Macaca fascicularis: one gene and its partners. The protein of the gene in region 1 purifies or fractionates together with the protein of each later gene. This does not show direct contact. Links are inferred from orthologs where the notes say so. Each region holds a gene or a part of one and is shown in the gene's direction. Other genes may lie near its edges. The genes, in order: SRC, KDR, ARRB1, STAT1, ARRB2, IKBKB and MET.

What was found.
Region 2: the proteins of SRC (region 1) and KDR purify together in Homo sapiens (co-immunoprecipitation; 5 studies listed by BioGRID and IntAct, with this or other methods). This does not show direct contact. The link is inferred for Macaca fascicularis from reciprocal best matches to the Homo sapiens genes SRC and KDR.
Region 3: the proteins of SRC (region 1) and ARRB1 purify together in Homo sapiens (affinity purification with western blotting; 3 studies listed by BioGRID and IntAct, with this or other methods). This does not show direct contact. The link is inferred for Macaca fascicularis from reciprocal best matches to the Homo sapiens genes SRC and ARRB1.
Region 4: the proteins of SRC (region 1) and STAT1 purify together in Homo sapiens (affinity purification with western blotting; 3 studies listed by BioGRID). This does not show direct contact. The link is inferred for Macaca fascicularis from reciprocal best matches to the Homo sapiens genes SRC and STAT1.
Region 5: the proteins of SRC (region 1) and ARRB2 purify together in Homo sapiens (affinity purification with western blotting; 4 studies listed by BioGRID and IntAct, with this or other methods). This does not show direct contact. The link is inferred for Macaca fascicularis from reciprocal best matches to the Homo sapiens genes SRC and ARRB2.
Region 6: the proteins of SRC (region 1) and IKBKB purify together in Homo sapiens (affinity purification with western blotting; 3 studies listed by BioGRID and IntAct, with this or other methods). This does not show direct contact. The link is inferred for Macaca fascicularis from reciprocal best matches to the Homo sapiens genes SRC and IKBKB.
Region 7: the proteins of SRC (region 1) and MET purify together in Homo sapiens (co-immunoprecipitation; 4 studies listed by BioGRID and IntAct, with this or other methods). This does not show direct contact. The link is inferred for Macaca fascicularis from reciprocal best matches to the Homo sapiens genes SRC and MET.

The regions. Positions count from the first base shown.
Region 1 is NC_088384.1:93,496,231-93,499,730, forward strand, and holds part of SRC (proto-oncogene tyrosine-protein kinase Src), read left to right. Parts: intron 1-1,133; coding exon 1,134-1,233; intron 1,234-1,501; coding exon 1,502-1,519; intron 1,520-3,500. UniProt on the Homo sapiens protein: Non-receptor protein tyrosine kinase which is activated following engagement of many different classes of cellular receptors including immune response receptors, integrins and other adhesion receptors, receptor protein tyrosine kinases, G protein-coupled receptors as well as cytokine receptors.
Region 2 is NC_088379.1:78,783,092-78,786,591, forward strand, and holds part of KDR (vascular endothelial growth factor receptor 2), read left to right. Parts: intron 1-231; coding exon 232-362; intron 363-600; coding exon 601-769; intron 770-1,386; coding exon 1,387-1,526; intron 1,527-2,180; coding exon 2,181-2,358; intron 2,359-3,500. UniProt on the Homo sapiens protein: Tyrosine-protein kinase that acts as a cell-surface receptor for VEGFA, VEGFC and VEGFD. Plays an essential role in the regulation of angiogenesis, vascular development, vascular permeability, and embryonic hematopoiesis.
Region 3 is NC_088388.1:74,139,767-74,143,266, reverse strand, and holds part of ARRB1 (beta-arrestin-1), read left to right. Parts: intron 1-85; coding exon 86-221; intron 222-1,384; coding exon 1,385-1,469; intron 1,470-1,920; coding exon 1,921-1,993; intron 1,994-3,500. UniProt on the Homo sapiens protein: Functions in regulating agonist-mediated G-protein coupled receptor (GPCR) signaling by mediating both receptor desensitization and resensitization processes.
Region 4 is NC_088386.1:86,671,598-86,675,097, reverse strand, and holds part of STAT1 (signal transducer and activator of transcription 1-alpha/beta), read left to right. Parts: intron 1-2,436; coding exon 2,437-2,622; intron 2,623-3,500. UniProt on the Homo sapiens protein: Signal transducer and transcription activator that mediates cellular responses to interferons (IFNs), cytokine KITLG/SCF and other cytokines and other growth factors.
Region 5 is NC_088390.1:4,804,851-4,808,949, forward strand, and holds the start of ARRB2 (beta-arrestin-2), read left to right. Parts: upstream 1-1,299; 5' UTR 1,300-1,322; coding exon 1,323-1,456; intron 1,457-4,099. UniProt on the Homo sapiens protein: Functions in regulating agonist-mediated G-protein coupled receptor (GPCR) signaling by mediating both receptor desensitization and resensitization processes.
Region 6 is NC_088382.1:45,830,133-45,833,632, forward strand, and holds part of IKBKB (inhibitor of nuclear factor kappa-B kinase subunit beta), read left to right. Parts: intron 1-809; coding exon 810-939; intron 940-1,309; coding exon 1,310-1,504; intron 1,505-2,246; coding exon 2,247-2,361; intron 2,362-3,148; coding exon 3,149-3,272; intron 3,273-3,500.
Region 7 is NC_088377.1:158,137,298-158,141,494, forward strand, and holds the start of MET (hepatocyte growth factor receptor), read left to right. Parts: upstream 1-1,397; 5' UTR 1,398-1,816; intron 1,817-4,197. UniProt on the Homo sapiens protein: Receptor tyrosine kinase that transduces signals from the extracellular matrix into the cytoplasm by binding to hepatocyte growth factor/HGF ligand. Regulates many physiological processes including proliferation, scattering, morphogenesis and survival.

The DNA.
Region 1 (3,500 bases):
CGCAGACTTCACTCAGACCCGTGCACTCTCTCCACACTCACACGCTGGGCCACACACACGGCTACACCCCTGCCCGGGACACGCACACATGCGGAGTGGAGACAGGGTCACAGACACCCGCGGACACATCCCCAACGCAGATGTACCCAGATACAAACTCACATACATGCACAGGTGACGTCACACTTGTAGATGAAGACACACGCGCATGCCGTCAGACGCGCATTCAAAGACACACACAAGACACAGACACATGCTCAGCTGGAAGTCACCATCGTGGCCGCCCAGACGACAGATGCACACGGGTGCATCGAGAACATGCGAACACTCAGAGACACACGGACAGGGCTGGACCCCTCAGATGCAGACGCACGCCCGAGAGAGAAACAGATCCACGGACACACCATTCATTTGTTCAAGAAGTATATATGGAGCTCCTACTACCGGCCGGGGCTCCTCTACTGGGCAGACGGAACCCACCTGGGGGAAGGAAGCACAGGGCAGCTTGTGGAGGGCGTTAGAAGTGGCGCTGCGGCCAAGACACAAAACAGGCAGGGAGGGAGGGCTGGGGGATGTGTGGAGGTGGAGGCTGTAGCTTAAAATGGTGGAAGGGGGTACGGGGGCCTTTTTGAGGGGACAGTTACTTGGAGCCGAATCTTCCTGGACACCAGGAGCGCCCAGAGTGACACACTTTACGGAGAGAGAGCAAGTCTTCCTGGGGCAGTGTTCTTCATTCACCGCTTTGTTCAGCCTACAGCTCTTTCTTGAGCACCTACTATGTGCCTGGCTCTGGAAACAAAACAAAGATGCTTGTTATTGGGGACTTCTGGTCCTAGAGTAAGACAGGCACCAAACAGATAAGCCGGGACCCAGCACTGCCCAAAGCCCTGGGGGCGGACACGGACAGGAAGGGATGCTCCCGCTCCCACATGCCCTTGCAGGGATGTGCAGACACACGGATGCAGTGGACACATGCACAGGCCCATCTTCACTGAACCTGACCGTGTCTTTGGGCTGGGCGCTTGTGGTGTGTGGGAGACAAATCCCCACTCCTCCTGGGCACAGGGCCCTCCTGCCCACGCCTTCCCTGGGTGTGGCTCCACCATTCTGACATACCCCACCCCTCTCTGCAGGTGGAGTGACCACCTTTGTGGCCCTCTATGACTATGAGTCTAGGACGGAGACAGACCTGTCCTTCAAGAAAGGCGAGCGGCTCCAGATTGTCAACAACACGTGAGTGCCCCCTTCCCTACTGCCCGTCAGGGCTGGGTGGTGGGACTTCAATGCGGGCAGGGGCTCATGCAGGATCTGGCATCAGGGCAGCGCAGTGCGGAGCCCAGGGCAGTGCGGAGCCGGGCGCTTGCTGCACTCTCGCCCTGGGCAGCACCTGCTGTCGCTCCCCCAGCCGTGGGGAACTCCTCCCAATCCCTGGCTCTTGCTTGCTCCCTCCAGCCCTCTCTCAGCTTCTCCCTCTCTCTGCTTCTCTCTTGCTGGCCCTTAGGAGGAAGGTGGATGTCAGGTGTGTACATGCTCTGTGGGCAGCGGGCTGGGCAGGGTGCTTTGCGGGGGGTGGGGGCTGCTGTCTGCATGTGCTTCCACTCCCTGCCTGTGATCTCTGGCTCTCTTGGCTGCTCCTCACCTCCCAGCTTCTCCTCTCCCCCCCACCAATTGATTAGGTCCTGGACCTTAACCCCAGGCTGTGATCAGGGGCCCCTCCGTTGCACTCTCCTGCACACCTCCTCCCCATCCACCTTCCTACTCACTCACCCTCCCATTCTGCCCCGTCAGCCCACCCAAGTGTCCGCTGCATGCAGGACCCAGTGCTGTGACTGGGATGGCCTGGGTGGAGAAGGCCTTGGCCACGCCCTCCTGGAGCCAGCATGTGGCCAGGGAGACAGCCCATGGCCCCAGTCCAGGCCAAGAGTCAGGCAGTGGACGAGCCCAGAGTCAGCTCCTGGAGCCCCTGCTGTGGGCCTGTCTCTGGTGATGACCACAGGGATTGGGAGGGTCAAGGGCCTCAAAGGAAAGCCAGTGAAGTTCTCTGGCAGGTGGCAGTGGTGGAAGGGCAGCTTGTGGGAGGGGGCCGGGCTGGAGGGGGCTGACGCCTTCGCGGGTGTGAGAGGCAGAGAGGTTCTAGAGGGCGGAGGAGAATCGATCCCTGGGTGTCCTCGAAGGCCTGGCTAAGGAAGTTGGGGGTTTCCACTGCCCCGAGCGTGTCTGGCTTGCTCATACCCCACTTACTTGCCTTGCGCATGCTCTTCCCTTTGCCTGAAATGCCCTTTCTCCGGTGTCTGCCTGGAGAACTCCTGTTCATGGCTCAAGATCAGTGCAGGACTGCCTTCTCAGGGGGCAAAAGGGAACAGAGGTGCCAGTTGCCATGCCAGTCGTCTCCACCCGTGTCCTCGTATTGACTCCTCTCTGCAGTCTAGCCAGGGTTGAAGTGATCGGGGAGGGGCTGTCTCCATTTTGCAGATGAGGAAACTGAGGCTCAGCGATGTGAAGGTCCTTGTCCAAGGTCACACAGCTGCCAAGTAGCAAAGCCAGGACTGGAACTGAAGCAGCAACTTTCTGCCCTCCTCAAGCTGCTCTTGGCGGCGGGGGAGGGGGGGTGCGTGGAGGGGAGGGGCTCTCCCAGCTCCCCCTCCCCCCTTGCATGGCAGAGTCCTGGTGCGAAGCTACAGTTTTCTTATTGTCACCAGCTGTTTGTGTCTGCTTCCCCCCTAAACTGGGAGCTGCTGGAGGGCAGCTCTCTGGTGCACCTCACTTCTGGGTCCCCATAGCACCTGTAACTCAGCACAGTGGCGGGTGCCCAGCAGGTGATGGTGAACAGGATGAATGAACAGCAGTGACAAAGTCACCATTTCTTGTGCTCTCTATGTGAGCCTGCTGAGTGCTTGAATTCGCATTATTTTATTTATGCATCACCATAGCCTTGAGAAATGGGAAGTCTTACTTGCACCATTTTACAGATGAGGAAGCTGAGGCCCAGAGAGGTGAAATGACTTGCCCAAGGTCACATGGCTAGTAGTGGCAGAGCTGGAAGACTAGGCTGGCCCTCCGACCCATGGTCCTTTCAGAAAGGCTCAGTGGAGGTGCAGCAGAGGCCACAGGCGGGAGGGGCCTGTGCAGGGGAGGGGCGCCAGCAGGATGGCTTTGAAGTCCTGGTGGAGTCTCTACCAAGCGTCTCAGACTGGGTGACAGCTGGGGCAGAGGTGTGGAGGCAGGAAGGGCTTGGATAACTTTGGTTCTGCCTTTTTCACCTGGAGTCAGAGGGCAGCCCCATGCTTGCCTTTTTCCAGCCCTTTCCCTCCACTCTTCTTGCCTTCCGGGGGGGGTGCGCTGGGGGAGGTTTGGCCAGGAGGCTGGGGCTGCCAGGAGGCCTGGAAGTGATGGAATCTCATTCAGGGAAGACCCTGGGTAGACTGGGAGATGGGGGTGGGTGGATTGGGAGCCCCTCCTCATATCACAGTGCTCCAATGTTCCTTCACTTAGACGTCAGA
Region 2 (3,500 bases), on another chromosome or scaffold:
CATACACGTGCATGTGTGCGCACACACACACACATACACCCCCATCCAAGTGTGGAGCCAGATGTCTTGGAGCCAGATGTCTATCAGTAGAATAAGCTATGGATGCCTTTGCTTGTGTGAGGTGTCACTTCCAGTCATTCACTTGTCTGGTTAGAGTTTAGGAACCTGAAAAATGACCAACTTTTCTAGTAAATACCATTAACTCATTAATAAAACTAAATTTTCTTCTAGATTACAGATCTCCATTTATTGCTTCTGTTAGTGACCAACATGGAGTCGTGTACATTACTGAGAACAAAAACAAAACTGTGGTGATTCCATGTCTCGGGTCCATTTCAAATCTCAACGTGTCACTTTGTGCAGTAAGTTGCATCTCCTCCAATCGTCTCTTAAGTTTTTATATTTTTAAGCGAATAGTAAGACGGGTAGCCTGTTTATAATATTCACAATGAGTTTTCAGGATCCTTTACGAAGGGCGAAATACACTGAATAAAACTAATTAGTATTCTTAAAAATAAGATGAATTCTTCAGTGATCATTGTACATGGCTCTCATTTTTGGTACTGGATTAAATATTTGGTATTTCTTTTTATTACCCAGAGGTACCCAGAAAAGAGATTTGTTCCTGATGGTAACAGAATTTCCTGGGACAGCAAGAAGGGCTTTACTATTCCCAGCTATATGATCAGCTATGCTGGCATGGTCTTCTGTGAAGCAAAAATTAATGATGAAAGTTACCAGTCTATTATGTACATAGTTGTGGTTGTAGGTAAGAGGAAAGTTCCTTTCCATATCATTAATAACAGATAGTAGAGAGTAACTCCTTGTATTAAGATCTTGGAGATAACGATGTACAGTGAAGAAGGATATTGAAAAGTATAGGAACTCAGGATATGGTGTTGGGCAATTCATCTGCTCTTCTCTACCAAATAAACCCATGTGCAATTGAGGTTGTCTCTTTTCTTGCCAAGATCAAGGATGAAAAAGAAATTTTTTTTTAAAAAAGGATGAAAATGAATGGTATTACTGGAGCTCATTTATGCTCAATGTTCGGAGCATTGCTTGCTATCAATTATTTCAATTATACCTATTTTATGGAAACTTCAGCAGTTTGCTAAAGCTGGCCCTACTGGCCTAGGGCTACTGACCACTGAAATTTTGCTACTTTTCTATCCACTGGGTTACAACATCTTTGAGATCTGTGAAGGTAGTGCTTTGTAAATCTCTGTTGGCCATTTTTCTGGGAGCTACCAAGTATTGGTGAGGCCTGCAGGGAAAAACAATGTGGTGTGTTTTAAAGTTGCATTACTTTAAAAAATAAATTTGTGCAAAGTTATAGGCTTATTTTCTCTCTCATGTTCTGTTTTTTCAATTTACTTGCTCTAGGGTATAGGATTTATGATGTGGTTCTGAGTCCGTCTCATGGAGTTGAACTATCTGTTGGAGAGAAGCTTGTCTTAAATTGTACAGCAAGAACTGAACTAAATGTGGGGATTGACTTCAACTGGGAATACCCTTCTTCGAAGGTAACACTAATGATTCAAAGCCAGACCTCCAAATACTTAGATAATAAGACCCAATGAAGTTTGCTTGAGAGATAGGGGCCTCTTTGGCCAGATAAAATTTAAAAGTCTTAGAACACACACACACACACACACACACACACACACACACACACACACACACACACACACAAGTTAAGGGAATTGCAGAACAGATAGCACCCACAAAAAGGTGAAATACCAGGAATTTTGTCCTGTTCTGCAACAGCCAGTCTATGAATATTAGTTTTCTCTAGGTGATTACATCTTTCCACATTATGTCATTTCTCTTTTCTCCAAAGTTTTTGATCTACATTCCTTTTAAGGGAATTTCTCTTTAAGAGGTGGCACGAGATACTCTGCTCCTTAAACAGTGGTCACATTTACTTGTGTTTCTGCAGTTTATATCCATCTCATTTTCGCCATGTGAGGTTTTAAAAATCCTAATTCAGTTGGTTCCATTTATTTCTCCTGAAACCAAATACATCATTGGCTGCATGAGGTTAAAAGTTCTGGTGTCCCTGTTATTAGCATTAAATAATGTTTACCAAAGGCCAAGATTTAATTCTCTGTGTTACTAGAAGTTATTGGGTAATGTTATATGCTGTGCTTTGGAAGTTCAGTCAACTCTTTTTTCAGCATCAGCATAAGAAACTTGTAAACCGAGATCTAAAAACCCAGTCTGGGAGTGAGATGAAGAAATTTTTGAGCACCTTAACTATAGATGGTGTAACCCGGAGTGACCAAGGATTGTACACCTGTGCAGCGTCCAGTGGGCTGATGACCAAGAAGAACAGCACATTTGTCAGGGTCCATGGTAAGTTATGGTCTCCTTGGAAATTATTCTGTGCCTTGACAAGTGAGATAGTTTAAATAAATTTAGGTCACTTAGTGATTCCTAGTTTGTTCATTCAGAAGATACTTCCTAGTTCTTCTTGTTAGGGAGGCCACATGACCTAGAGGTCAAGAGCGTAGCTTTGTAGTCAGGAACTTGAGTTCAAACTTCAACTTTAAAGATGAGATGTGCTGATATATACTAAGAGCTCACTTAGTATTACTTATTATAGTTGTTGCTGCTATTAGGATTATTACTATGATAAATAGTATTAGCTAGGGTAGTTTTTAAATTTTTGTTTTATTATAAGGCTGAGAGGCCTACCTGAATAAGCATGAGCTTTGCAAACTGGGGAAACATTTAGCAATATATAGTTGGACCTGTGAACAATTCAGGGGTTAGGGGAACTGACCCTCCCTCTGCAGTCAAAAATCCATGTATAGGCCTGGCGTGGTGGCTCACACCTGTAATCCCAGAACCCTGGGAGGTGGAGGTGGGTGGATCACCTGAGGTCAGGAGTTCAAAACCGCCTGGTCAAAATGGTGAAACCCCATCTCTACTAAAAATCCAAAAAATTAGCCTGGCGTGGTGGTGGGAGCTTGTAATCCCAGCTACTCAGGAGGCTGAGGCAGAAGAATTGCTTGAACCCAGGAGGCGGAGGTTGCAGTGAGCCGAGATTGTGCCATTGCACCCCAGCCTGGGCAACAAGAGCAAAACGCCTTCTCAAAAAAAAAAAAAAAAAAAAAAAAAATTCAAGGTATAACTTTTGACTTCCACCAAATGTAAATAATGACCTACTGTTGACTGGAAGCCTTACTGCTACATAAACAGTCAATTAACACATATTTCATATGTTATATGTATTATATACCGTATTCTTATAATAAAGCTAGAGAAAAGAAAATGTTATTAAGAAGATCATAAGGAAGAGAAAATATATTTACTGCTCATTAAGTGTAAGTGGATCATCATAAAGGTCTCCATCCTTGTCTTCACATTGAGAAGGCTGAGGAAAAGTGGGAAGAGAAGGGAGTGGTTTTGCTGTCTCAGGGGTGACAGAGGTGGAAGAAAATCTGCTTATAAGTGGACTCATGTAGTTCAAATTTATGTTGTTTAAGGGTCAA
Region 3 (3,500 bases), on another chromosome or scaffold:
AGCAGGAGAATGATGTGAGGCTTGCAAGGAGAGGGGATGAAGGCAGGTGACCCTGGTCCTCTTTCACTCCATCCATCCCCATTAGGAATTCTGTGCGTCTGGTCATCCGGAAGGTTCAATATGCCCCAGAGAGGCCTGGCCCCCAGCCCACAGCCGAGACCACCAGGCAGTTCCTCATGTCGGACAAGCCCTTGCACCTAGAGGCCTCCCTGGATAAGGAGGTAGGAGGCTTGAACTGGGCAGGGGGTGGGGGCTGCTCCACTAGGACCTGGGCCTCAGATCCCAGCTCTCTCCTGGCCTGCAGGGATGCCTCAGGTAGGAGCTTCTACCCCCAGCCCAAGGACCACAGGGCTCAGGGAATCTGAGACCTCTCCTGGGGGATTTGGAGAAGTCTCTTGGGCCTAAAGGAATGGCAGAGGGGGCGTGAACTTGAGGGATGTGATGGACTTCAGAAGGGAGGAGCAGACCCTCCCGAAGGTCCTGGACATCTCCCCCACACCTCCACCAGCTGCCTGCTTCAGGCCGAGTGCTGAAGGTCAACCAGCATTGCAGAGGGGGTACGGTGGGGGGCTGTGACCTCCCTGCCAAACCCTGAGCATCGGGGCGACAAGCCCTGCTGAAGGAAGGGCCTCCCCTCAAGCTCTGAATCAAACCCAGATGACTGATGCCTGCTGTGAGCTCGGGCTAGCCCCTCCTCAACGTGTGGGCACCCCCCCTCTCTTGGGGCATGGCTGAAGGGAAGTGCCTTGGGGCAAGATGCAGGTTGAGGCCTTTTTGTGGGGATTCAGAGCTGGCTCCCTCAGTGAGCTGGTCAGCCCCTCCTCACCTTTCCCTGCTTCTTCCAGATCCTTCCATGGACAGAATTTAGAGCTGGCAGGGACTTCAGATATCACCTAGTCCAACCCCTTCATTGCACAGAGGGAGACTCTGAGGCTTAACCTACCCACGGTCACACTGCTTTCATCATCGTCAGTGTTATTGTTGTTATTGTTGTCACGATTACTGGTGGCCAAGCCAGGGCTGGAGCCCAGGACTATCACCTTCCAATTCCATTATCTTTCAAGGGTCCCACCAGGGAACTGAAGGCTAATGTGCTTGGTGGCTTTCATGCCACCTTAGCAGCAGTGGGAAGTGGCTGATGAACTTGGGGCAAATGTCACAATGCCTTGGGGGATTCAGAGAAATCTCTTGGGCCTAAAGGAGTGGCAGAGGGGGCATGAACCTGAGGGATGTGATGGACTTCAGAAGGGAGCAGCAGACCCTTCTGAAGGTCTGCCCAAGGTCTGGGGAACCCCAGAAGATCGCGTGGGGGCTTTTCTCCCTCCCCTTTCCCTAGGACCTTGCTGTCCGCCCAGCCAACCCCATCCCTTCTTATGCCCCCCAGATCTATTACCATGGAGAACCCATCAGTGTCAACGTCCACGTCACCAACAACACCAACAAGACGGTGAAGAAGATCAAGATCTCAGGTACCCCAGGCAGAGGGTCAGCTTAGGGGACAGCAAGAGGCAGTCTTCCCAAGGGCTGGGAGTGGCCGAAGGATCTCCCCTTGTTAACAGCCTTGTATAAAAAATAGCCACTGAAGCCTGGGGCCTGCTCTGAGCCACAGGGCAAAGCTTTTGAGTCGGGTAAGGCAGGCTGCTTATTGGCCAGGTAATGAGCTTGCTCTTTAAGCCACCTCTTCAGTTTCTTGGGTTCTGGGCAAAGCTGTCCTTGAGGGGAAGGCTTTGGTTATGGAAGGAAAGGGATGTGTTTGGGGCTACCCTTTGGATGGAAGACAGGGGTGGTCTCATGCAGAAGTCCCCACTGGTGGCCTCTGGCCATTGCCTGGGGCTGAATATCCCCAACCCGGGACGCCTGTGAGACTCCATGGGAGCTGCATTCCTGACTCACTCCACCTCGATTCCTCTCCCTCCTTAGTGCGCCAGTATGCAGACATCTGCCTTTTCAACACAGCTCAGTACAAGTGCCCTGTTGCCATGGAAGAGGCTGAGTAAGTGGGCACAAGTCTGGCCTTGGGCGTGTGGGATTCGGTGGGAAAAAGAGAAGCTCTAGGTGTCCCGTTACAGGTCCAGGTGGCTCTTCTCCACCTGGCAGAGGGCTGGGCCTCAGACTTCCTTGCCATTCAGAGTAGATGATCCCGAAGAGCCTTTTAGAAACCATCCACCTGATTTATCTACAAGAAAATGCATGCTACAGTCAAGGAAGAGACCCACTAAAACTAGAACGACAAAACAAGAGCTAATGAATGTAAGGGGATTGGGGTTGTGGAGAGAAGATAATTACGTTGTACAAGAAACCTAGGTTGAAGGGAAATACTTTGTTCTTGAACTTTCTGGTAGCCAGGGCAAAGTGGGTAAGGCACTAGGTACACAGCTCTTGTTTGATAAAGGGGTAATCCAGCTCATTGGGTGAAAGAGGTTGTGTGGGGGACAATCCAGGTTTGAGGAGAACTACTATGGTTGAGCATGGACTGAACTTTGTCCCAAGCTTGTTGGCAGCTGAGGCAAGAGGAGAGATCTCAAGTGAAACATCTTTACTTGCCTAAAGGAAGTAAATGCTCCCATTCAAAGACACACACATTTTTTTTCCCCCCCTGGCCCTGCAAGTAATTTCTTGGAGCAATTACACCCGATATAATTTTACATGTATATGTGTATTTGTTTATATATAATTCCAATCAGTATTTCTTGCAACTTAAAACTTTTTTTTTTTTTTTTTTTTGAGACGGAGTCTCACTCTGTCACCCAGGCTGGAGTGCAGTGGCCGGATTTCAGCTCACTGCAAGCTCCGCCTCCCGGGTTCCCGCCATTCTCCTGCCTCAGCCTCCCGAGTAGCTGGGACTACAGGCGCCCGCCACCTCGCCCGGCTAGTTTTTTTTTCGTATTTTTAGTAGAGACGGGGTTTCACCGTGTTAGCCAGGATGGTCTCGATCTCCTGATCTCGTGATCCGCCCGTCTCGGCCTCCCAAAGTGCTGGGATTACAGGCTTGAGCCACCGCGCCCGGCCAACTTAAAACATTTTTTAAATGTTACTACATGGCCTTTGAAATAGTTTTTAATGTCCTATAGGTGAACATGCTATGATTAGATCAAGCATTCTCTGGTTATTGGATATTTTTCATATCCACTGTTGATTTTTTCAAAAAAATCAGAGCTATGAGGCATAGATTCCTGATGGTAAAGTGAAATGATCTAGAACCAGAGTAACGTATAATCCCTAAAGAGTAGAAAATCGCAACCACTGCAGATGGTGCCAGCGTCTGCATAACGAATACCAGCAGGGATGGCTGGGGAGGCATTTGCATTCACAGACTTGTTTACTTCTCAGGAAGCACTGTGGGGCTGGGGTTGCTGCTGCCCCAGTGTGTAGAGGAGGAAGTGGCTCAGAGAGATGTGACTTGCAAGCTAGCAAGCAGCAAAGCTGGGGTTGGAACACAGCTCGTCTGACTCCAAGGCTTGTTCACTATCTGCTGCATGACAGCTCTCTCATTGGAAAGG
Region 4 (3,500 bases), on another chromosome or scaffold:
TAAACTACCACAAATATCTGTGGTTCACTCTCTGGAACATATTGTGGAAATGATGGTCTTGAAAAGACAAGGCCAGTTCCTTCCTTTGCATCAGGTTCGTTATCTGCAGATCAAGGATGTGAGTCAATATAATCTGCAACCCGTTCTTGGAAGGAATCACATTTCCCACAGGAGTAAGCGTCCAGATTCTCTTAGGGTCATCCCAGAGTAGAGTGTGCAGTGAGGACAGGCTTCGGGAGAAGACTTCGTACACATCATTAGCCAGGGAGTTGATGCAGGGCCTGTTGGGACGAGTGGCAGCCTCTACCCTGCCTTCAAACAGAGCAGCTGCAAATTTATCTTTATCATATATTGGGTTTCTATCTAATCAAATGAGTCCATGGCTAAAAGACTCCAGAAACCTTGATGTTATGAAGCAGGTTTCTGAGGGTGAAGCTCAACAGCATAAATGAAAAAATCATGAAGACCAACTAATGACTTTTCACTGTTGTTCAGAGTTTGGTCTATTTGAAGGGCAGGAGGAAAAACTGATTTGTTTCAGTAATCTTTTTTTTTTTTTTTTTTTTTGTTGTTGTTGTTGAGACAGAGTCTCACTTTGTCACCCAGGCTGGAGTGCAGTGGCTGTATCTCAGCTCACTGCAAGCTCCGCCTCCCGGATTTACGCCGTTCTCCTGCCTCAGCCTCCCAGGTAGCTGGGACTACAGGTGCTCGCCACCTTGCCCAGCTAGGTTTTTGTATTTTTTTTAGTAGAGATGGGGTTTCACCATGTTAGCCCGGATGGTCTGGATCTCTTGACCTCGTGATCCGCCCGTCTTGGCCTCCCAAAGTGCTGGAATTACAGGATTGAGCCACCGTGCCCAGCCTGTTTCAGTAATTTTTATACTTTAAGTGGGTAGACACAAAATGGAATATTCTTCTTGTTCTATTTATTTTTCTGAAATATTCCTCTTTTCCTATTTTTCTGGAATACTCCTATTTGTTTTTCTGCCGTACTCTTCTTGTTCTGTTTGTTTTTCTGGAATACTCTTGCTTTATTTGTTTTTCTGGAATATATTCTATTTTTCTGGAATACTCTTGTTCTATTTATTTTTCTGGAATACTCTTGTTCTGTTTATTTTTCTGGAATACTCTTGTTCTATTTATTTTTCTGGAATTCTCTTGTTCTATTTGTTTTTCTGGAATGTATTCTATTTTTGTGGAATACACTTGTTCTATTTATTTTTCTGGAATACTTTTGTTCTGTTTGTTTTTCTGGAATACTCTTCTTGTTCTATTTATTTTTCTGGAATACCCTTCTTCTATTTATTTTTCTGGAATATCTTCTTATATTTATTTTTCTGGAATACTATTCTTTCTTGTTCTATTTATTTTTCTGGATTACTCTTCTTGTTCTGTTTGTTTTTCTGGAATACTCTTGTTCTATTTATTTTTCTGGAATACTCTTCTGTTTATTTTTGTGGAATACTCTTCTATTTATTTTTCTGGAATAGTCTTCTTGTTATATTTATTTTTTTGGAATACTCTTCTTGTTCTATTTGTTTTTCTGGAATACTCTTCTTGTTCTGTTTTTCTTCTGAGGAAAAAGCAGGGAGGCTGAGACGAGAGTCTGGCATGGGCAGTAGTCATTGGAACCTGCCCTTTTCCTCTTACCCTGTTCCCTTCCTGAACTAGCCGAGAGACAGAGCTAGCAGACCAAGCAGAGATGAAGAAAACCCTTGGCAACCAGAAAAGGTCAAGCAGGACAGTACCAGCCAGGAAGGGTTAGGATAGCAGCATAGTCTCATGTTCCACAGCAGGCTCCCCAGAGCACCTGAACCGTGGCCTCTGGAAGGTGGACACCCAAAGGGAGATTCTGTATCAGCTAGGAAGAAGGATCTGAATTTGGTGTGGGAATAAGAATGGGAGTAAATTAAACCATGGTTTTTACATTAAGGGTTACAGGGAAATGTAGGAAATAGGATCTTTTTTTAATTTCAAAGTGTTTTCTATATATCATCATTTATTTTAATACAAAATTAGATTTTTCAATATGAAAAGAAAAACAGAAAGTGAGTTTATCTTTAATAATTTAAATCTATGGCTTAAGCCAAGATGACCCACTTAGTAGTGAGTTATTTATGTGCCTATGGGCAGCACATTGTTGAAGATGCAGGCTTTTAAAGGTTTTTAGTAAATCTTTTTTGCCCAGATTTATAAATCTAAGCAAATAATGGCAAATAGAATGTTATTGAGAATAGTACCTCCCTTTATTTTCCCTGAGACAGTATTATAATTTATTTAGAAATAAAGCAGTCTATTATGTGTGTTGTAACGCTTAGATTGGGATTAGTTCTTATGAGGTTCACTCAAATCCATCAACTCTGCAGTGTTTTATTTCTCTGTCCTCTTTCATTTTGGGATATTCTACGGGATTCACTTAGCTTTTTTCCTTTTTAGAACCTTACTTCCATGCGGTTGAACCCTACACGAAGAAAGAACTTTCTGCTGTTACTTTCCCTGACATCATTCGCAATTACAAAGTCATGGCTGCTGAGAATATTCCTGAGAATCCCCTGAAGTTTTTGTATCCAAATATTGACAAAGACCATGCCTTTGGAAAGTATTACTCCAGGCCAAAGGAAGGTAAGTGGGGCAAGCGGGTGGTAACAGCGTGGCACAGTCCTTCCTGATGAGGGGGTGGTTATTCTCAAACTCCACCCATGTGGTGTTTTGCTTTTGAATTGGTAAGAGTAGGCTTTCAAAAGATGGTATAAACTCAGTGCAGGTGAAACATAATGCATTATTTGGCCTGATACAGCTAGTAAAAAATGAATGGACAATTTCCTATTTTAGGAATGTTGGAAAAGTCCATTGCTGGTCTTGTGTATTTGTTACTATCACTGTTTCCACATGAAAAGGGGTAAAGAATAAGGAACTGTGGCCAACCAATGGAAGGCATCTTGCTCACATTAAAGTTGAGGAAACTGAGGCCTGGGAGAAGTGAAGTGGTTCGTTTAGGGTGGCCCAATTACTTACTAGATCCTATTTTTTTAACGTAATTATTAAGAGGAGGCCTCATCTGAGAACACAGGTCTCTTGCTTCTCAGTTGTCAATGAATTGCATTTGAGAAAGTTCAAATTAGACCTGTTTTGTTTGGAACACACCAACAAAGCTGTTTTTCAGAATCAGAAATCTCAATATTAGGACAATTACTTTGGAATGAAGATGCCCCCAGCTTACCTTGACAGCTATGAAGATTCATTAGCCAGGCTAATGCCAATAAACTAGATAGAACTTTGCATATTTTGGGCTCCAACTTCTTGTAAGAATTCAAGTTGTGTAAAGAGAAAGCTCCTAGCTAGTGTCCTGCTGAAATCTGCCCTTTTCTTCTCATTGCCTATGCATTCCCACTAGAATTTTAGGTGACTCAGGCAGGGAGGTTATAGCCCCTTAAAGTTTTAGGATGCTAGGCTGCCTAGAAGCACAGTAGAACTTTAATCCCCCCGAAAAGTTGATGTTC
Region 5 (4,099 bases), on another chromosome or scaffold:
AACACGAGGTCAGGCATTTGAGACCAGCAAGGCCAACGTGATGAAACCTTGTCTCTATTAAAAATATGAAAAGTAGCTAGGCATTGTGGCAGGCGCCTGTAATCCCAGCTACTCGGGAGGCTGAGCAGAGAAGTGCTTGAACCTGGGAGGCGGAGGTTGCAGTGAGCCGAGATCGCGCCACTGCACTCCAGCCGGGGCAACAGAGCGAGACTCTATCTCAAAAAAAAGAAAACGAAAAAAAACTTCTGCACATCCTTCAGAAAGACTGTCCTCATATGTTCTCCGCTCCACCCCCGCCCGGGCCGAGCGCTGTTAGTGGCTGTGTCTTCTGACTCAGACCTCTGTAATAGCATTCCTGGGTAATACCTGTGTATGTGTCTCCTCAACTATTCTAGGAAGTCAGGGGCCATGGTAATTCATATGTGTCCCCATCGATTGGCATAGTAAATAGCATAAAATAGGCACGGATGGGTGGGTCGATAGATGGACCGATGGGTGCGAGCGAGTGAGTGAGTGGATGTTAGCTGGGATGGGTGGGTGAAGGAGATGGAGAGTCAGAGACATTGGAAAAGGGAACCCTGCGAAAATCAAATGTAGACACCAGGAGGAGCTGACACGCTGCGGTGAAGAAGCGGGAGGGCTGGCCACAGAAGGCGGTACGCTCCGCGTGGAGCAGGTGAGCTGCGCGCACTGAAGCAAGTATCACGCAATTGAACTGCTCACCCACGTGTTCCCCCCCACCATCCTCCTTCCCAGACGGCGCTTCAGCTCATTCCACCGCCCCCAACAGCCCGGTCGCCCCCACCGCCACTGAGAAAGCAAACAAAGGGGAGGAGACCCCTAAAGGTTCTGGATGCCGAGGGCCAATCGAAAGACTTAGATCCCCTGGAAGGCGGGAGCCTTGGTTTAGGGGGGCCCAATCGGTTTCAAGGGGTTGCGGCGGGGCGGGGAGATGGGCGGGAAGAGCGGGAGCGGGCCCCGCGCGCGGGGGAGGGCTCCCCGGCTGGGACGGAACGCGAAGGGTTGGGGGCGGAGCCAATGGCCCTGTGTGTCTGCTAGGAGAGGGCGGGCAGCGCCGCGGCGCGCGCGATCCGGCTGACGCATCTGGCCCCGGTTCCCCCAGACCAGAGCCGGGCCGGGAGGGAGGGGGAAGAGGCGAGAGCGCGGAGGGCGCGCGTGCGCATTGGCGCGGGGAGGAGCAGGGATCTTGGCAGCGGGCGAGGAGGCTGCGAGCGAGCCGCGAACCGAGCGGGCGGCGGGCGCGCGCACCATGGGGGAGAAACCCGGGACCAGGTAAGGGAGGTGGGGCCACGCGGCGGGGCATGGGCGGCGGCTCGGGGCGGGGGCTGGGACGGTCCCAGACGAGGACGCCGCGGAGAGGATCTGGGGGCCGGACGCCTGGGTCCCTAGGGACAGCCATCCGGGGCCGCACGCGCAGGTCCTCGAGGATAATGAGGTTGGGGGGAAATGCCCGGGCCCCTGCAGAAAGCGAGGCCGGAGGGGGATCAGAAAAACCGGTGTCGGGGTTCTCTCAGGGATGTGGGGCCAGACTACTGGGCTCTCCCGTGCCCAGGAGTCTGGGCAGGCTGCGATGCAGGGACGGAGGGAGGAGCAGGTGGCTGGCCCCGAGGGGTCGTGTACGGGGAGGCTGGATGCTGGGAGGGGGATCCCCTCCAGACTCGTGCCAAGCCAATGCAAAGCCTCCTGTCCAATATCCCCCAGGTAGTCGCGCTGCCCACACCTGTCCCGAGGGCCGGGTGGCTCCTCATCCAAACTTCTACCTTCCCCTGGGTTGCCAGGAGCAACAACAGCTTCATCTTGGGAGAGCCTGACCCTTCCTGAAACTAGATCGGATCCCTCTCCCTGGGGGTGGGGGAGGCAGTATTCACGCTGGGCGCGCGTCCACTCCCCGGATGTTTTCTGTGCAATCGAGGCTCTTTCCTTCCACTGATACCCCGAGTTCTCTTTTTTGGTCTCTAGCAAAATCCACTTCCTGTTGTGACTCAACACCCCCAAGGGGTAAGGGGTGAATGCCTGAGTCCCAGGGGAGCAGGAGCAAAAGACAGAAAGGTTGGGGCTGTAGGCCTCAACCCAGAGGGGATCGGGAATAGGGAATTGGTCCTGAGCTCTGGCTTGCTCTGCAAAGCATCATATCGACCCCACTTCCAACCTATAGAGTAGGAGAACCCAGGTTTCTGAGCGTCAAGTAGATGAGTATCAGAAAGAGATCATCAGAGAGATGATCGGTGTCCTGGATTAGGGTTTAAACATCCCAGAGAAAGGGGAAGTTGCTGCCTTGTGGGAGGCCCCTGATTTCCGTTATGTGGTTCAAGGAGTGGGACAGATGGACCAAAGGGGACTGCTGACTTGACCCAATTTCCCTCACCTCCATCAAATTCTGGGCCACAGGAAATGGAGAGAATAGCAGGAAGTGTGAAAGGACATCTGCTTCAGCTACCCCTGCCCCCATTGGGCACCTCCCTGGTCATCCCCACACTCTGCCTCCTTGGCCAGCCTAGTATCTGCACGCTGCTCCTCCTCAGCCTGGCAGGAGGTGGCTGGGTTAGGATCCAAAGGGCAGGTGCCTTGCAGCTGCTCCAGGGCAGTTGCCCCAGAGCCACACTGCAGTTGGCCCACTGACTGTGGCTGTCACAGCCCTGTGCCAGGGCTCCTAATGGGAGGACACCCTGGGACAAAGAGGAAAACCAGAAGCAAAGGGGAGGGAGAGCCTGGATGATGCCACAGCACTCAGCCCCCAAGTTGGGACAAAAGATAGGATGTTTATTCTAGCTGCCACCGTATCGATGTTTATTCTCTTTTATTGGTTAGGAATACCTGGGAGCCTCCATACCCTTTACCTTATAATCTTTGGACAGCTTGGCTTTCTGGGAAGAAGGGACAAGTGAAGTTGTAGCAGAAACTGGGCCTATGGTAGAAACCATTTAGGGCCAAAGGCCAGAGTCATTGCTCTCCTATATGCTCCAGCTGTCAGAGCTGTAGACCAGATGGAAAGATGGTTAAGTCTTACCCAGATACTGCGGCAACCTGCCCATTGGGGTCCTCTGGGAATGGGGTGGTAGAGTTGGAGGAGGGATGGGCTAGTTGGCAGGATTTCACGTTCTGCTGTCTATCTGAGGATCCTTTCCAGGGATCACTGCTGAGGCAGAGTGGATTGGAAGGAGTAAGGTGATGCTTCAAAGAATAGGCTCACAATTGGCCAGATCACTGGGATTGCCAAACACTTCCTTACCCTCCCAGCAGTGGGTGGAGTCCAGGCTTAAATTGTTTCAGCAACTGGAAAGCGAATACCCTTCAATTGAACAAACTATTGATGCCAGCTACAGAGACGGATAGTGTAATATTGATTGAGAGGATGGACTCGGAGCCAGACCGCCTTGGTTTCTATTAATTCCCACCATTTACTCTCTCTGTGACCTTAAAACACTTAACCTCTCTCTGCCTCAGTTTCCTCACCTGGAAAATAGAGACATTAGGACCTCCATCACTGGGTAGTTTTATTTTATTTTATTTTTTATTTATTTATTTATTTGAAATGGAGTCTTGCTCTGTCACCCAGGCTGGAGTGCAGTGACGCAATCTTGGCTCACTGCAACCTAAGGCCGGGCGTGGTGGCTCACGCCTGTAATCCCAGCACTTTGGGAGGCTGAGGCGGGTGCATCACCTGAGGTCAGGAGTTGGAGATCAGCCTGGCCAACTTGGGGAAACCTTGTCTCTACTAAAAAACTACAAAATACAGGCCAGACGCCGTGGCTCAAGCCCGTAATCCCAGCCCTTTGGGAGGCTGAGGCGGGCGGATCACTTGAGGTCAGGAGTTCGAGATCAGCCTGGCCAACATAGGGAAACCCCATCTATACTAAAAATATAAAAATTAGCAGCCAGGCGCAGTGGCTCACACCTGTAATCCCAGCACTTTGGGAGGCCAAGACTGGCGGATCACGAGGTCAGGAGATGAAGACCGTCCTGGCTAACACAGTGAAACCCCGTCTCTACTAAAAATACAAAAAATTAGCCGGGCGTGGTGGTGGGCACCTGTAGTCCTAGCTACTTGGGAGGCTGAGGCAGGAGAATGGCATGAACC
Region 6 (3,500 bases), on another chromosome or scaffold:
AAGAGGAAGGAGGAAGGAAATTCTAAGGGGAAAGATTAAAGTGAGCAAGGCACGTTTGGGAGGTGGTGGGTAGCTGTCTTGGCCTCAGGAAAGGGTTTGAGTGCTCACAGGAGGCAGGCTCTGCAGGGCCAGGGGAAGGAGCTTGGAGTTTGTCATGTGAACCACTACATCTGGCAGCGTGGGATCTAGATTCTGTAGGGGTCACCTGAGCTAGGATGTGCTTATAAAGTGTATTTTAAAAACCTCATGAGTCATTCTTTTTCTTTCTTTTTTTTTTTTTGAGACAGTCTCCCTCTGTCACCCAGGCTAGGGTGCAGTGTGGCACAATCTCGGCTCACTGCAACCTTTGCCTCCCAGGTTCAACTGATTCTCCTGCCTCAGCCTCCTGAGTAGCTGGGATTACAGGCGCGCACCACCATGCCCGGCTGATTTTTGTATTTTTAGTCGAGATGGGGTTTCACCATGTTGGCCGGGCTGGTCTCAAACTCCTGACCTCAAGTGATCCACCTGCCTTGGCCTCCCAAAGTGCTGGGATTACAGGCATGAGCCACTGTGCCTGGCCTTCATGGGTCATTCTTATGCAGCTATTTGGAGGTCAGGAATCTCTGATTTCAGGGTATTTTAGAATTCAGGAGAGAGGTGTGAACACCTGAATAATTGATTGGAAATGTCTATACTGTTTCTGATAAACCCATTTTCATTTTCAATCACCATCTGTTGGCTGCCATCTGTGCATATACTGGGAGACACACACTGTAGCCCAACATTGGCTGGAAGTGTCTCCTCACACACTCTGCTCCTCTCCACAGCGTCCTGGCTGAGCGACTGGAGAAGTGGCTGCAACTGATGCTGATGTGGCATCCCCGACAGAGGGGCACAGATCCCACGTATGGGCCCAATGGCTGCTTCAAGGCCCTGGATGACATCTTAAACTTAAAGGTGAGCATGGAGCCAAGTTAGCCCTGAGGCAAAAGCTGGGGTCCCCAGCGGAGCATGCACTTCTTAGGATAGAGCAGGGGATGGGGCCAGCTGACTTAGTGAGAAAGTTTAGGCTCCTGCATCAGTCTTTCTGCATAAGTAAAGAAAGGACAGTTGTGCTATTTGACATTGGCTATGAGGTCATAGCCACAGACAGGATTATGAAAGACGAAAATATGCGAAACATGGCACCTGACCTCCCTCCGTCAAGCCAGGCCGTTGCTTTGTGTGGTTGGGAAATGTTGGGAGTAGCAGAGAGAGGACCTAGGCAAATAGATGCGCATCTCCTTGAAGAAATTGGTTTTCCAGTAACATCTGGGTTGTGTTGCAGCTGGTTCATATCTTGAACATGGTCACAGGCACCATCCACACCTACCCTGTGACAGAGGACGAGAGTCTGCAGAGCTTGAAGGCCAGAATCCAGCAGGACACGGGCATCCCAGAGGAGGACCAGGAGCTGCTGCAGGAAGCGGGCCTGGCGTTGATCCCCGATAAACCTGCCACTCAGTGTATCTCAGATGGCAAGGTAAGCCCTGGCTTCGTACACACCACCCTGTTTCCCTTGGCTGTGCCTCTTGGGAAACTCAACACACCTTCAGATTTCAATTCTGCTTTGTCATGTAGTCTGTTTATCATACAGTGTGGATACCTGCCTGGTGTTTAAGTTGGAGTATGGTGTCCTCTGTGTGGCCTGATAGGAAACACAAATCTCCTTGCTGGACTTGTTACTTCCAGACCCTCCAAGACCGTTCTCTTGCCTTTATTGCAAAAAATGATGCGGTAGTACTTGAATCGCTCAAGTTGCCAGCTTGGCCCTCTTCCAAGTATACTTAAAAAAAAAAAAAAAAAAAAAGATGCTGCACTGTCTTGAGTCAACTGAAACTATTTATGATGGCCTCTGTGTTAGGCACCTGTGTTAACTATAGCCGTGTAAGACATGGCCTCTGCTCAAAAAGAGCTTCTCACCTGACTTGTGGAGATAAAGTTATCATATGAGAAATAATCATTGCATAGGGAAGTATATAGTGAATTTCTGAACTTCACAGGGATGACAGTAAAATAGAATGTAATAAGTTTGTAAATAAGGAGTGTGTTCCAACAGTAAGTGTAGGCTGGAAACGTTGGGAGAAAGACTTCATGTATGCTTCGTACTTGCTGGCTGAAGATGATGCTCTTGCCAAACAGTGGGGAAAGCTCTGGAACCTCTTCATTATTAGAAAAGAGAGGATTGGATCCACAAGATTCATTTTGTTCTTGTCCCTTTGCAGTTAAATGAGGGCCGCACATTGGACATGGATCTTGTTTTTCTCTTTGACAACAGTAAAATCACCTATGAGACTCAGATCTCCCCACGGCCCCAACCTGAAAGTGTCAGCTGTATCCGTAAGAATTTGTTTTGTTTTGTTTTTCTAAATAATCAGTTATAATATGTGGGACAAGGCAGGGGAGGGAGACTGGACTAAGGAAAGGGGAGCCACATGAAGGAAATTAGTATCGCCAGTCCTCGGGGCAGCCTTCCTTATTTAGGACATGCAGAGAGTAGCCAGGCAAGAGACAGTACAGGAAACCATTAGTGAATTTCAACCTCCTAGGCTGGGCATGGTGGCTCACGCCTGTAATCCCAGGACTTTGGGAGGCTGAGGCAGGAGGATCGCTTGAGCCCAGGAGTTCAAGACCAGCCTGGGTAATATAGTAAGCTCTCATCTCTACAAAAAATTTAGAAATTAGCCAGATGTTGTGGTGCATGCCTGTAGTCCAGCTATTCAGGAGGCTGAGGCAGAAGGATCACTTGAGCCTGAGAATTCAAGGCTGCAGTGAGTCATGATCACTCCCACTGCATGCCAGCCTGGGTGACAAGAGTGAGACCTTGTCTCTTAAAAAAAAAAAAAAAAAAAATTCTATTGAAAATATATGACCCTATATACATATGTGTCCAAATGGTTCATAAAGTGTTTCTTCAAATCAACAGCTACTTATTGACCACTGGTACATGCTGTTGGTACAAATACATGTATGTGACAGTAACCAGGCATAACACCCTCCAAAGTTACATGATCCTATAGTAGGTATAAAACGTGAAAGTGCCAGCAGTGTTGAAGGCAGGATGTGGTTAATTGTAGGAGAGTTATTGTGGTTATTTTTTGACAATTGCCTCTGTCTTTGTCTCCAGTTCAAGAGCCCAAGAGGAACCTCGCCTTCTTCCAGCTGAGGAAGGTGTGGGGCCAGGTCTGGCACAGCATCCAGACCCTAAAGGAGGATTGCAACCGGCTGCAGCAGGGACAGCGAGCCGCCATGTAGTGTGCCAGGCTTTTTTTTTTTAAACTTAATTTATTTAAAATTGCTTGGTGGCTTTGGCCACAGGGAGGTGGCTGAGGCAGGGACCCAGAAGCAACTGTTAATGAGCAACAAAAGGGAGACACTGGTTTGGACAGACGGGAAGCAGTTGGGTGGGCTGGACTGAGGCAGGCCCCTTTAGACCTGATGAGGTGAGTGTGGTCGGCCCAGGGCGAGGAGTATGGAAC
Region 7 (4,197 bases), on another chromosome or scaffold:
TTTTTTGTTTTTGTTTTTGTTTTTGTTTTAAATGAGCTGTAGTCATTGATAAATTATGCCATGCAGTATCAGGAAATCTCCAGTCAGGTCGCATTGTTTATTTAGCCAGCGGAGGCCTCTTGGTATGGTGTGAAGGACACCTGACTGGGCTGAGAGCTAAGTTCTAACCTTGCCCCTCTTACTAACCAGATGTGTGACTCTTCCGGGAACTCTTAGGGACTCAGTTTCTTTACCTGCAAATGGTTCAATTCAATAGTAACGTAACGGGAACTTTCCTTTTCCATAAAACTGGGGAATCACGAGATAATCTCTTTTGAAGATTGAAATCACTCTTATGTAACTTCTGGTAATGCCTGGCACTTGGGAAATGATAACTATTCTCACTGTATTTTTCTATCTTCCATTCTGTAGTAAATAAGACCTGAACCTGCATAGTAACTGTTATTTTAACCCATGACTTTCAATAACGAAGAGATCTATGTCTCATTATCTATTACCATGATTGAACAAGCCCGTGTGAGATGCTTGAACAGGCCCATATAAGAGCCGGAACGAATTCAAGTCCTAACCAGCAATGCCCGTTCCTTAGATCCTACTACCTTTGAGTGTTCATTTACTATTGTAGGTGTCAATTTTTATAGCGAAATATAAAGTTATCCCAACACAATTACACCTAATAGAGTACACCAAGGCCCCAAAAGCTCTGTTTTAAAAATCATCGTAAGACTTCAACATTCAAGAATTAAACTTTTGTTCTATTTTGCTTGTTCATCGCTATTTGCCCAGTTATTTAATCAGTCTGCTTCTGGCTATGAAAAAAAGAAAAAGAAAAAGAAATGGAAGTCTCCTCGTGGTTAAACTCCTCTGTTGTTCTTCCTTGCAGAAATCTGAGTTATTACAGTAGAGGATAATCGTTGCATAATGAAATCATTGGGACAATTCATCCATCCACTTCTACCGCCGCCTCTAACAGTGTGTCTGCGGTGCCCAAATCTCTCTATACTCGGGTGGGCGCGGGGCGGTTAGCGGAGACGTGGGAGAAGCGGAGAGCAGAGCTCGCGCCCTTCCCGGGGTCAGCGAGCGGAGTGCCAGGAGGGTGCGCGCCCTGCCTCTGCGCCCGGGGTGACACTCGCCTCCCAAGCGCCAGGAGGGGGAGTCTCGGTCCCGCTTATCTCCGGCTGTGCTAACTTCAGTCTGCCTGAGCTGGGGGAGGAGAGCGCGCAGCCAGGGCGAGAAAACTTCTCCACCTAGAAAGTTTCACCTTGTCGTGGGCGGGGCAGAGGCGGCAGGAAACGCGACCCCCGCGGGGCCAGGCGCGGCGCGGACGGCAGGAAGGGCGGGGGCCGATTTCCCTCTGGGTGGTGCCAATCCCCACCTCAGCGGTCCTCGGAACCCGCGGACTAGGCGGACGGACAGCGCGCGAGGCAGACGTACACGTGCTGGGGCGGGCAGGCGAGCGCCTCGGTCTGGTCGCCTGGCGGTGCCTCCGGCCCCAACGCGCCCGGGCCGCCACGGGCCGCGCGCGCCGATGCCCGGCTGAGTCACTGGCAGGGCAGCGCGCGTGTGGGAAGGGGCGGAGGGAGCGCGGCCGGCGAGCGGGCGGGCGGGGCGCTGGGCTCGGCCCGGCCGCAGGTGACCCGGAGGCCCTCGCCGCCCGCGGCGCCCGGAGCGCTTTGTGAGCAGATGCAGAGCCGAGTGGAGGGCGCGAGCCAGATGCGGGGCGACAGCTGACTTGCTTCGAGGAGGCGGGGAGGCGCGGAGCGCGCGGGTGGTCCTTGCGCCGCTGACTTCTCCACTGGTTCCTGGGCACCGCAAGGTAAAACTGCAGCCCCTTTCAAATCCCGCACCCCAGCCCTCGCCCCAGCGGTTCTGCTTTCTTTGTTCCCCTAAGAGACCTGACTGCTGTTCCAGGGGGAAAACCACGGAGGTGGGCTAGAGTTTACGGGCTTCGGAAACTGAAGAGACGTGGCCAGGGGAGGACGAAACTAGAATGGGGCTTGTCGTTTTAGGGTGTTGCCTCTGATGGCCACCTGTATGACTTAGGAGGGAGAGGGGCACTGGGACAGTGGGTAATGTATGACTGTTATGGCCCAGCAAGTTTTAAAGCTGGGATCTGACTCAGCCCTTACAAAAAGGATCCGGTCATCCTCGTCCCACCGTGATGCAGCCCGCAAGGTTTGAGCCTAGCTGTTTCCTTGTTCCCAGCCTTGCTTTATCTGTGTTATGCTGGGGTCCTTCCAAGGGGTAGGTGTTTCTGTGAAAGTCTGAATTCATTTCTGGCAATCACGCGGGGCTTGTGATCCATCAATTTTCCATCGTACCTTATCTCTTTCTGGGGCTTGTGGAGGACATCTATCTTATTAGGTGAAATAGATTATAACCAGAGGCTGGGCAATGTGGCCAGTCGTAGTGCTGACCCGATAATTAAAGCACCAGTGAAAGTACTTTCCCTGACTATTGTCAATGCAGAATTTACTCCCAAGTACGGTTTCCCATTCATATCTTTCATGTTTTAAAAGAGCCATTTGCTAATTTGGCAGTTGGAGAGGGCTCCAGTGGCTCACGCATGAATAGTTGCCCAGTGTATTTTACCTTATCACAGTTTTATGTTCAAAGGAGCCCTCGGGCAGAATGAAATATTGTCAACTCTCTTAGGCAAAATAATCAAGATACTTTAATTGCTATGTTAAGATGGTCCATGGATGTGAGAGGATTGTAAAAACTGACGTTGGAGGCAATATAGACTATCTGGACCCTCTCTTGAATTTTAAGAAGACTGTTCACATTCTGTAGCTTTGGGTGGAGGTTTATTCTGTCGCTTCCATCAGCCAGACACATGCACATTGCCATGCAAATAGATTCAGAAAAACATTATATCCCCTTACAGCTAAACTATTATAGCTGACTAATGAATTTTTTCTGCATGAAGATGATCTGAAAATGATGTACATCGTGTTTCTATGTGCTACAAGGACATAAATTGCATTTTTATGTAAATAGTGTAAGTGGTGCTTGGATTATTTACAGGTACATAGCTTTCCTTGCTTGTTTTAAGCTAATTGAGCTTTGTTTTGAACATGTAAACTTCCATAATGGAACATAAGTGAGGTACTTTGGTTCCTATCATTTGCAAGTCTGTGGTGTATTCAATGTTCATTCTTTTTAAACTGCTGAATAACAGAGGGAAAATTTACATCATTCATAAGAAATTTTTGTAGTACGAAAAATGTGTCTGATAGCCTATAAAATGTGCTGGTGTTTTAAAAATTCTATTCAGTTTTCAAACTTAATGGTGCATAAGCTATAGTTATTAACTTAAATATGTTTTGCTTTTAACATGATGGAATTTGTGGCATATAGAAGATGGTCTACCGACTACTGCTTTTTCAAAATTGCTTTGTTCTTGATACATGGCAATAGGGGTTTACATCAGATGTATACTACATGCTTTCAAAATTAGTGGATGGAGTTTATCTTCATGATAAAAATGTAGCAGATTAATCACAGCCAGTCAATATGAAAGCTCATAACTAATATTTTCACTACTTTTAAACCTATAATAGAGAAAAATGACCCTTTGCTAAGCAGGAGAAATACCCATATTTTATAAATTCCTTTTAAGACTATGTAAGTATATGCCTTGCATTAATCTTGAAGTCTTTAAAAAAATTTTGTCTGAATGAAGGCTAAACTAAGAAATACATTTCAAAACTCAATTTCCTTAGCTGTTGTGAAAATAGCGTTTGAAATAGCATTAGTCTAATTATCCTTCTGCAGAACTACATAATAGTCTCAAATACACTTTTTCTCAAATGTGGTCATCTCAAAACAAGGTGAATAACTCAGAGGGGCTAATATCCTCTAACTGGCTCATTTTCTCCAAGTGGCTGCACCAAGGACGTGATGACACCCCCATGGTGAGCACAGTTCCTCACACATTCGGATTACCTCCCATTTCTCTGTCCTCTTCCTACTCAACCTTTTCCTTTGGTTTGGTCAGAGCTGCTTTCAAGGCCTTCTGTGCCCCCATTTCTCCAGCCCAGTTTGCTGGTTTCTTCTTTAGGCATTAGGCTTAGTGATTCTCACCAGAGCCATCTACGCTTTCTTTTCCATGGTCTAAATCCCTAAGATTTCCTTGTTCTGCTGTGTTTATTCATGGGATACTCAATTTCCTCATTGTGCCCTCTTAAGGGGAGA